2 linked regions of the Oryzias latipes genome follow. The main gene of each other region encodes a partner of the protein of the gene in region 2 in a complex. Links are inferred from orthologs where the notes say so. Each region holds a gene or a part of one and is shown on either strand. Other genes may lie near its edges.

Region 1 (4,342 bases), on a different chromosome or scaffold from region 2:
AGGTTTTAATAAAATGATGTTCTTCCACAAAACCACCAGGGTGCAGCGCTGCCTCACTCCAGAATTTCTGAACTGCGCCTCTGGTGCAGAATTCTTGATGAAGTTTGTTGATGGTCATTTGATGTTCTCGGTAGGGGCGGTTTGCGTCAATACAGCACACATGCAGACACGTAAAGAGAAGCGCTTAAAGGTGTGGAATCTATCCAGATGCGTTGGATGGAAATTAACAGACATCTGCAGTGATGAACCCCCCCCTCAGGTAAAACTGACTTGGATGGGACCCATTTGTCAGGGTTTGCAGCAGATGGAGGCTGTCAAAAAAAAAAAAAGACGAAACAGAAACACTCCTTCCTCCTCCCCACTTTCTTTTGCCCAGCTTCTGCTGGTACAAACCAGACGGGCACAGGTAGAGTCATCACCAGAACATGAAAACAGTCGTTTTATTCAGCTAACATTTATACATAGCAAGGAAAAAAAATACCCCCCCCCCCCCCAACACACACGCAAGACAAGAAGATGACAGGTGCTCAGCGCCGCTGGTCGTACGTCCGTATTGTGCTCCACTCGTATGACTCTGCAGAAAGACGACAGGCTCGGATCACTGCCAGAGAAATCAGCAGAACCTCAGGCTCATTTGGGTGAAAGTGGACTCACCTGGTTCCTCTTGGCTCCTTTTTCCCATCAGCCCCACAAACGAGTTCACTTTATGTCCTTCAGGGCAAATATGACACGGATTAGTGGGAATTCGTGGCACGCGTTCATGTAGCACATCAGACCTAACCCATCTTTCACACTTGTGTCCAGTCAAGCCTCCCTGTGACCTTTGACCCTGAGCGGTTTCTGATTGGTTGGAGCTCCTCTCCGATCGCAGCGATTGAATCTGCAGCGGCTGCTCCCTGGAGAAATCTAAACTGACCGCTTCTCTTTACAGAGCGGCAGTTGGCACCCTGATGGAAAACATCTTCATCATCTGGACGCGGGCCCGACTGTGAGGAAGAGGAGCCTGACATCCGACAACCGACAGCAGCTGCCCGTCAATCACATTCAGGGAAGGGGGGCTGTATAACTGACAGATCAATATGTATTAAGCTGATGGCCTCGCTCCAGGTTGGGGGTGGGGGGGTCCCCGTCTAAACAGTTGTGTCCTTGAAGCAATGATGAAGGGTAGTCCTTCCTCTTCATCGTGACTGACAGCTGTGCAAGTGCGTGTGCGCTTGGGCGAACGCTCGCTTTGCTGCCACCGCTCCATCCCTGAGGGGGCGACTAATTAAAAATGTTTACAAAGAGGGCGGACTCCCCACCACGCTTCTCCCTTTTTTTCTGCACCCCCCCACGTCTGACAGATTAAATAAGGAGAACCGCTGCTGAGCTCAAACACTGTCCATAAATAAAGCCCACCCCTCCCCGTTTCCCTCCCACCTTCACTTCAAAGCACTGATTAACAGGAAATTTCAGCTTTTTGTTTCTCAGGAAGGTATGGGAGGTGGTGTTGGGAAGGGGGGGGGGGTCGTGATGAGGGTGTCTCCTCCCGAGGGCTTGAATCGGAGCTTCAGCAGCAAGAACATGCAAGAAGCTGGAGGGGAAGGGTGGGGGACCGAATTCTCACTTCATGACAAAAAAACTGAAGATCAGAATGGACACTTACTTTTCCTGGTGATCTGTGCGTTTGCTGGAGGGGGGTAAGGGTAGGGTGGAGGTGGGGGCAAACAGAGACATAGAGTGTGAGCGGCTCATCCACACACACACACACACACAAATGGAACAGCCCTCACCCGTGGAGCGCCTCCCCATCAGGCCGATGAACTGATGCGGCCGCGGCTTCCTCGTCATCCTCAGCAGCATTTCTCTGAGCGGCTCGCTGGACAGCCAGCCGTCCTGGTGGGGTGGGGGGGATCAAATCCAGAGTGTTAAAACTCTATCTGCTCAAATGACCACAGCAGATAAAATAGAAACCCAGAATAAAATGCCCCCCACCCCATCCAGCAGTGAATAATTGTCCCTTCTTCTCAGTTTCTATTTCAGTCTCTCAGGATGGATCTCTTCTGAACACATTAGTGGGTGTCTTCCTCCCCATGATTTGTGGCAGCCTTATTCATCAGGCTGTGCCGGAGCAGACCGGACATGTGGAAGCAGCTACTGTCCGAACGCTGGTGCACAGCAGCCAATCCTGGTTCGATCCAGGCCCTACTCAGACTCAAATCACCAAAGAGATGTTGCGAAATTTCTCTCTGGATTAATCTATTATTATTATTATTATTATTATTATTATTATTATTATTATTATTATAGGGGGTGGACGTAGTTTGAATTGTCTCTGAAATTTCCAGACTTTTGTAACACAACTACAGAATGTGCAGAATTAAATGAAAAACTGCTGCTCCTCTCTAATAATAATAATAATAATAATAATAAAAATAAAAGTGAAAATAAAACTATAAAACCTTAAATTCAATCAGTACTACTTGTGTCTTTCCCCTTCCAGTTGCAGTCGGCGGATCTGACCTGGTGGTTCGTGCTTGTCCAGTAGTCCGCGTCCTCCTTGGGTTCGGGGTCCTGGCAGAGCACGCGCACGCCGGTGAGCAGAGCCACGAGCGCGGACAGCAGCAGCAGCAGCTTCATGGTTCAAGCGTTGAGAGTTGCATCGTCCGCGCTGACACACTTTATCTGGGCGCCGCGCGGAGGCGGTGCCGCGCGCGCGCGCGCCGCTACCTTTCTTCTAGCGCAACAAGTCCCGGGCGCGCGCGCCTCCTTTTCTTCTGTCCCCACGCGGTTTTGTTGCGTCGTCGTTTAGTAAGAAGCAGGATTACTAGAGTAACGTGCCCCGCTTGTAAAAAAGTAACTTCATGTTCATATGAAGTAAAACTAGATTTACATTTAGAAAGTTCCAAAAATGCACGTGTGCACCTCATCCACAGGGCGTGTCTACAATTTCAGTGCCCCACCCACAGAAAAAGCCCTCTTTAGTAAGATACATCAAACCACGCCATGACCAGGACTTTGAACCGGGCTCAGAACCGTTCTGACCAATGAGAGAAGGAGCTGCAGATATGAATGAACCAGGAGGTCTTTGCAGTTCTGAGCACGTGCAGCAGTTGCTCATACAAACGTTAACCTCTTTACTTTTCGGAATTGTTGATGTTTAGGCTTTTAGCTCGTCTTTCTTTGGGAGTGACAAGGAAGCATAGGATCAATATTCATGGATTTTTGTGAAAACATTGAAGGGTTAAAGGCTGATGTCAGAATTTCCAAGGAACATTGAGGTGAAAAGAGGATGAGCGTGAATGTGGTGGAGGACAGCAGTGTGGGCGAGGTGACAGCAGAATGTAGGGTTAGATGGAGACAGAAGATCCAAAGAGGCGAGCTTTGAACTGGAAAGAAAAGGGGATTTTAAAAGAATTATTTTAATCTTCCGATATTTTTGCGCTTTTAGTCTAAGAAATTTTTTGTTTTTTTTTGTTCTAAAACAGATTTCAGCAACAATGTGAGCAGCATTTCTGCAGAGAATCTGTCTTGAAAAAGAGAAAATGTACTTAGTTGCTTTTCTGCTATTTAATTTAATTGAACAGCACCATTACAGCACAACAACACCTTAACATCTTTGTTACACGCCCGCTGGTAACGAAGGCCTTAATAAGTCCCCACATCACCTCTATGGCTCAACAATAGTGGAAAAAATACAAATAAATGCCCTGAACACACAACTGCTAGGCGCAGAAGATATTATGTAAAAGACCAGCAAATGTAGCTAAATTTAAATTTTGTATATTTCTTGTTTGTCTGAGCCTTTTTTGTGTTTGCCATGTATTTTATGTCAGAGGTTCAAATATTTTTATAGATAGATAGATAGATAGATAGATAGATAGATAGATAGATAGATAGATAGATAGATAGATAGATAGATAGATAGATAGATAGATAGATAGATAGATAGATAGATAGATAGATAGATAGATAGATAGATAGATAGATAGATAGATAGATAGATAGATAGATAGATAGATAGATAGATCGATCGATCGATCGATCGATCGATCGATCGATCGATCGATCGATCGATCGATCGATCGATCGATAGATAGATGAAAAAGATGCTTGTTCAGTGTGAACACCATGGGCTAAATGCGCATTTAAGAACTAGCCTGTTCTTAATCACGCGTCACATTCCCAGTGTGAACTTAGCTTTAGACACTCAGATTTAGGCCAACTCTTTGTCCCAGAACATGAAGGAGACCAACAACCCAACAGTTGAGGCATCGTGTTCCATTGTCAAACAGCAAGAGAAGGAACAGTAACAGAGGATAGAGCTGCCATAGAGTTCTACAGTAGAACCAAATTCACTACA
Region 2 (4,512 bases):
TATTTAGATTTTTTTTTTACAGTCAGTCTTTGCTAGAGCCTGTTGCCTTAACCCCTTTGTTCTCTGTCTCTGAACAACCATGCACGTGACCATTTTGGGCAGTAAATTTACTGTCATATGTTGACTGGATGAAAGAGGTGGCTTAACTAAGACAGGTTCAAACAACAATCTGTTGATTTGAAATAAATTGAAGCTGCTCATACAATCATAGATCAGAAAGGATTTTTGCTATGTGTGTGGGCAGATTGAATAATAGCCAAAAGGTGAAAGCGTGACAGTCATGGCAGCAAAAGTGGAAGCAAAACGTTTTCTTTACTTTGACACTTGGAATGTTTCTGTTGTATTTAGTGAAATGTGGAAGTTCTGCCATAATTGACCTGCTTGCAGTGCATTAAATACCATGGATAATGCACCTTTGTTTTAAACTAAAAGCTCACAAGAGCGAGACAAAAAACATGACAAAGGGACAAACAGCTCTCACCGAGACTGGTGGATTCTAAAGGTAGCCGTTTCTAAAAATGTGTTACATGGACCAAGTAAAATTAAAATCACTTGTTTTTCTTTTCATTTTTTTTCCCCATTTCTATAAATTATAAATCAAATGTTGTACATGTTCCTGAATGTTCAGTTCACAAATATGAAACCAAGAGGGGGCAGTGAGAACCAATGTTGGAATTTTAGCGCAGCGCATCATTGAACACCACATCATATAAGACAATCAATGAGATATGCAGTATACTATGAGGTTAACTATTTCAGCATCAGCACATGATAAATACAGACTCTGGGAGTGCTTTTGTTGAACTTTTGCTTTCAAAAATTTTTCTTTACTGCCTGCCTGATTATTTTAAGCCTCTTTGCCAGATTGATGTAACATTGTCCCCCCCCCCCCCTGCCCCATCCGTATGTTGTATTATTGTCGACAGATGAATAATACGCAAATTAAATCAGATAGAGGGCATTTAAGCATGATAATCCGTCTGGAGTCCCCATGCGGTTTTATTCGGAAGGAATGAATAACTTACCTCGCTCATCCATAATCATAATCACTGAGCCTGCCCATTGGACGGGTGCGTACTAGCTCCCTTCATAAGTGGGAGTGCAGCTGCTCAGATCGAACAGAGAAACTCGAAGAAGGCGCTCAGACTCTGAGGGTGAGAGGACGAAGCTGAGCGTTCTGTTGTGTGAGACACGATAAGGCAGCGCGCACTCCTTCTACTGCTGTGCCGCGCGTAAAAGCCGTTCCATTTTTTTACGCACAGTCTAGAGTGGCAGATTTTTGAGATTTTGTCGAACCTAAGGTTTAAGATATCTTTTTATATGAATTTCAAGACAGAGAGGCCTTCAGGTGGACACTTTGCCGAGATCAGTCTGAACTATAATCGGGAAAAGGAGGCATTTTCCCCCAAATGAGCGCAAGGTTGCAAGGTTTTCTGAAGTGACCTTTTCTTCACTGTTTCACCGGAATTATTCACTTCAAGTCGTAATGTTCAGTGGGTAGTCTCCACTTGCTGTCACAACAATAGAATGGATCCTCTGTTTAATACAAGCGCTGTGCCAAATTGGACTGCGAGCCCCAACGACACCGACAACGACAAAGAGTACGGGAACCAGTTTGTGCAGCCTGTCTGGAGAATCGTCCTCTGGGCTATTGCCTACAGTTGTATCGTTATAGTGTCAACAGTAGGCAATGTTACGGTGATCTGGATCATTATGGCGCACAAACGCATGAGGACTGTCACCAACTACTTTTTGCTGAACCTGGCTTTCGCCGAAGCCTCCATGTCCACCTTCAACACGGTGATCAACTTTGTCTACGCAGTGCACAACGAGTGGTACTTTGGACTGGTCTACTGCCGATTCCAAAACTTCTTTCCAATCGCCGCTGTCTTCGCCAGCATCTACTCCATGTCTGCGATCGCTCTGGACAGGTACGTATGCTGCTCACGCTGCGCTTGTGTCGATAAAAGACAGATGACAACATATGTGTGGAGAAAAACAAAAACCTTACAATACATAAAGTTCCATAACATGTTTTTTTTCCTCTGTTAAAATTTATATTAGTGAGAACAATTTAGAATTGCTTGGTTAATAATGCAGAAATATGACACATTTTCTAAACGCAGAGATAAAGGAGTTCATGGTGATAAAACCTTATTTAAAATCAGATTTCAAAATCTCATGATGGAGTTTTGCTGCAGTCTGCACATCAATGCAGTCTCTTAAATCTGAGCTGTGCATAGAGCCCCCCTCCCCAACAAAACAAAGATTGATTGTTTTAAACATTTGCAATAGATAAATGATTTAGACAAGCAAGTGCAGCTCCCAAAAGCAGATTGTTCAAAATTGTTATGACCTTGTGGCATCATCTGTTCATATAAATATGTAAAAGTCTGTCAGAAGATAATAGTGCTTTCTCTATTTAATGGGCATCTCCTCTACACAATGCCATAGAATGAAAATGAATATGTAAAAACCAAAGTTCTGTTGGAATGTGTAACATGTTCTGTGTGTTTGTGTCACTGTCTCACTGTTTTAACAGGTTTGTCTTGTTGTGCATTCATATGAAGTGTGTGTTTGAGGGTGCAGATTTAGTCCTGGATGCATGAGTTCCACATCTGAGCCAAAGTCGGATAAAGCCCCAAACATGATCATTTTTTGCCTCTTTTTTGTCTTTTTTGCATATGGCAGGTCACATAATGGAAATAGCTGGCAGGTCTTTTTAATCAATTTTAGCAAGAAATGTGTGATTGACATTTTTTGAGAGCTCCAAAGAGACAGAAAACAACAAAAAAGATTAGAGTGGCATCACGCCACAGTATAAACACCTCACTTCCCTGCTGCCAGTTTGCTTTAAATCTGTATGAGAAAACATTCTCATTCCTTCCTGTTAAAAAATGAAGTTTTATTTTTGCAGGAAAGCAATTAAATGAATTTGTTAATCCAGTGGAAGAGGTAATGAAAACAATTTTAATCAGAGGTGAGGAAAGTTTTTTATAAGGGGAATCAACTAATCTTTTCCTTTTCAAATTCTTGATTTCTCTGAGCTGAAGAGCTCCCGTGTATTTTTAGATGTGACACCCTCTGAAAAATACAAATGGAGATCTGTGGGATCTCATCACAGGTAGTGTTGAGACTCTGCTTCATTGTATTGTCTGCTGTGAGAGTGCCATGGGGTTCCTGCACTGCACAATTCACAGATTATCAGTAAAGCTGGGTGCCAACAACAGTGTGTTGGCTTCTTCAAAACAGCCCACCTGCAGCCTCCAGGCTCATGAAGTCGTTCAAAGGATGCAACATGTTTTTCTTGGATTTTATTTTTTCTAGCTTTAAAGGAAACTGAGCTTAAGAACTATATCAGTTAAGACTTTCATATATTATCACTTATTAAATCGCAACTTTTATGTATATCATTATTTTGCTCTGCCAGTCATAAAAATGCCTTTCGAGGCAAACCATCCAAGTTGTGCCCTATCCCTTCCCTATCTTCTCTGGGATAGGCTCCAGCATCTCTGTGACCCTTAAAGGGATTGAGCAGGTTTAGAAAATGGATGGTCAAAAAAAGACATGAAAAACAGTAACTTTGGTCAGTGAGTTGAAGTTAAATTTAAATTAATTTAAGCAAGAACTAATTCAAGGCTTGATGTGAACCTGAACTTGGTTTTAGTATTTATTAACAAAATGTCTGGCTTAATTTTTTTCACTCCTAAAGGGACAGCTGTGGCTTGGAGGTAGAGGAGTCTCCTAGGGAACAGTTGGCGGTTCCATCTCAAAGTGCCTTTAGGCAAGACACTGTTTGCTGAGTTCTCTCTGGCGGGTTAAGCTAAGCGGCATGGCCGCTTCCTCAGTAGTGTATTATTGTGGGAGAAAGTGAGTACCGGTAAATGAGAAGCCGCGTAAAAGTGTGTTGAGTACCAGTAGCCAATAAAGTACTATCCAAGTGCAGACTGTTTACTATTTTCCATCATAATTAACACAATCCAGATGATCAGCAGCTCTTTCAGTGTTGTTCTTTTGATAATGTGTTAAAATCGATACAGTAACAACACTGTGGACTCAGCCAAAAACAAAAGTCCAATTGTTTTATAGGAGGCAGAGTTGCTATAAAGCAGTGCTTCTCAAAGGGGGGGCACGCAGAAGTAGCGGTTTTAGGCACGGGCACAAATTTGACAGGGCGCGTTGGTGACAGGGGCTCAGTGCTTGGAGAAAAATCTGCGCCACTATGGAATTATTATTATCTGTTATATGACAGAGTTTGTAACAGCCTGAAACCTGTGAACTGCCGTCCCTGCAACTGCGCGCTCCTGTCACACGCGTGTGTGAGAAGGAAAGGGGAGGGATAGTGTGCTCAGGCTGCCAGGTGGAACCGCACACGCGGAACGCTGCCTAGATTGCACAACACCAGGATCATCGCATGCCTTTAGATTCCTTAGCTCATGCTAATAATGTCATTCTTTATGAACTATTGTAGACATTTTGATGACACTTTATTTTCCATAAATGTATTCTTTG

The links.
Region 1: the proteins of tacr1a (region 2) and tac1 are in contact, whole or in part, in a cryo-EM structure (PDB 7P02), measured with the Homo sapiens proteins. The link is inferred for Oryzias latipes from reciprocal best matches to the Homo sapiens genes TACR1 and TAC1. Residues at the interface, in NP_001049.1 of Homo sapiens: Gln24, Phe25, Asn85, Asn89, Tyr92, Ala93, Asn96, Trp98, His108, Asn109, Ile113, Gln165, Met174, Arg177, Val179, Cys180, Met181, Ile182, His197, Val200, Phe264, Phe267, Phe268, Tyr278, Leu279, Ile283, Gln284, Tyr287, Met291; in NP_003173.1 of Homo sapiens: Lys60, Pro61, Gln62, Gln63, Phe64, Phe65, Gly66, Leu67, Met68.

The regions. Positions count from the first base shown.
Region 1 is NC_019869.2:20,881,755-20,886,096, forward strand, and holds tac1 (protachykinin-1 precursor), read right to left. Parts: upstream 2,630-4,342; 5' UTR 2,620-2,629; coding exon 2,503-2,619; intron 1,876-2,502; coding exon 1,773-1,875; intron 1,670-1,772; coding exon of another isoform or gene 1,646-1,669; intron 712-1,645; coding exon 655-711; intron 575-654; coding exon 528-574; 3' UTR 514-527; downstream 1-513. UniProt on the Homo sapiens protein: Tachykinins are active peptides which excite neurons, evoke behavioral responses, are potent vasodilators and secretagogues, and contract (directly or indirectly) many smooth muscles.
Region 2 is NC_019867.2:25,963,842-25,968,353, reverse strand, and holds the start of tacr1a (substance-P receptor-like), read left to right. Parts: upstream 1-1,527; coding exon 1,528-1,931; intron 1,932-4,512. UniProt on the Homo sapiens protein: This is a receptor for the tachykinin neuropeptide substance P. It is probably associated with G proteins that activate a phosphatidylinositol-calcium second messenger system.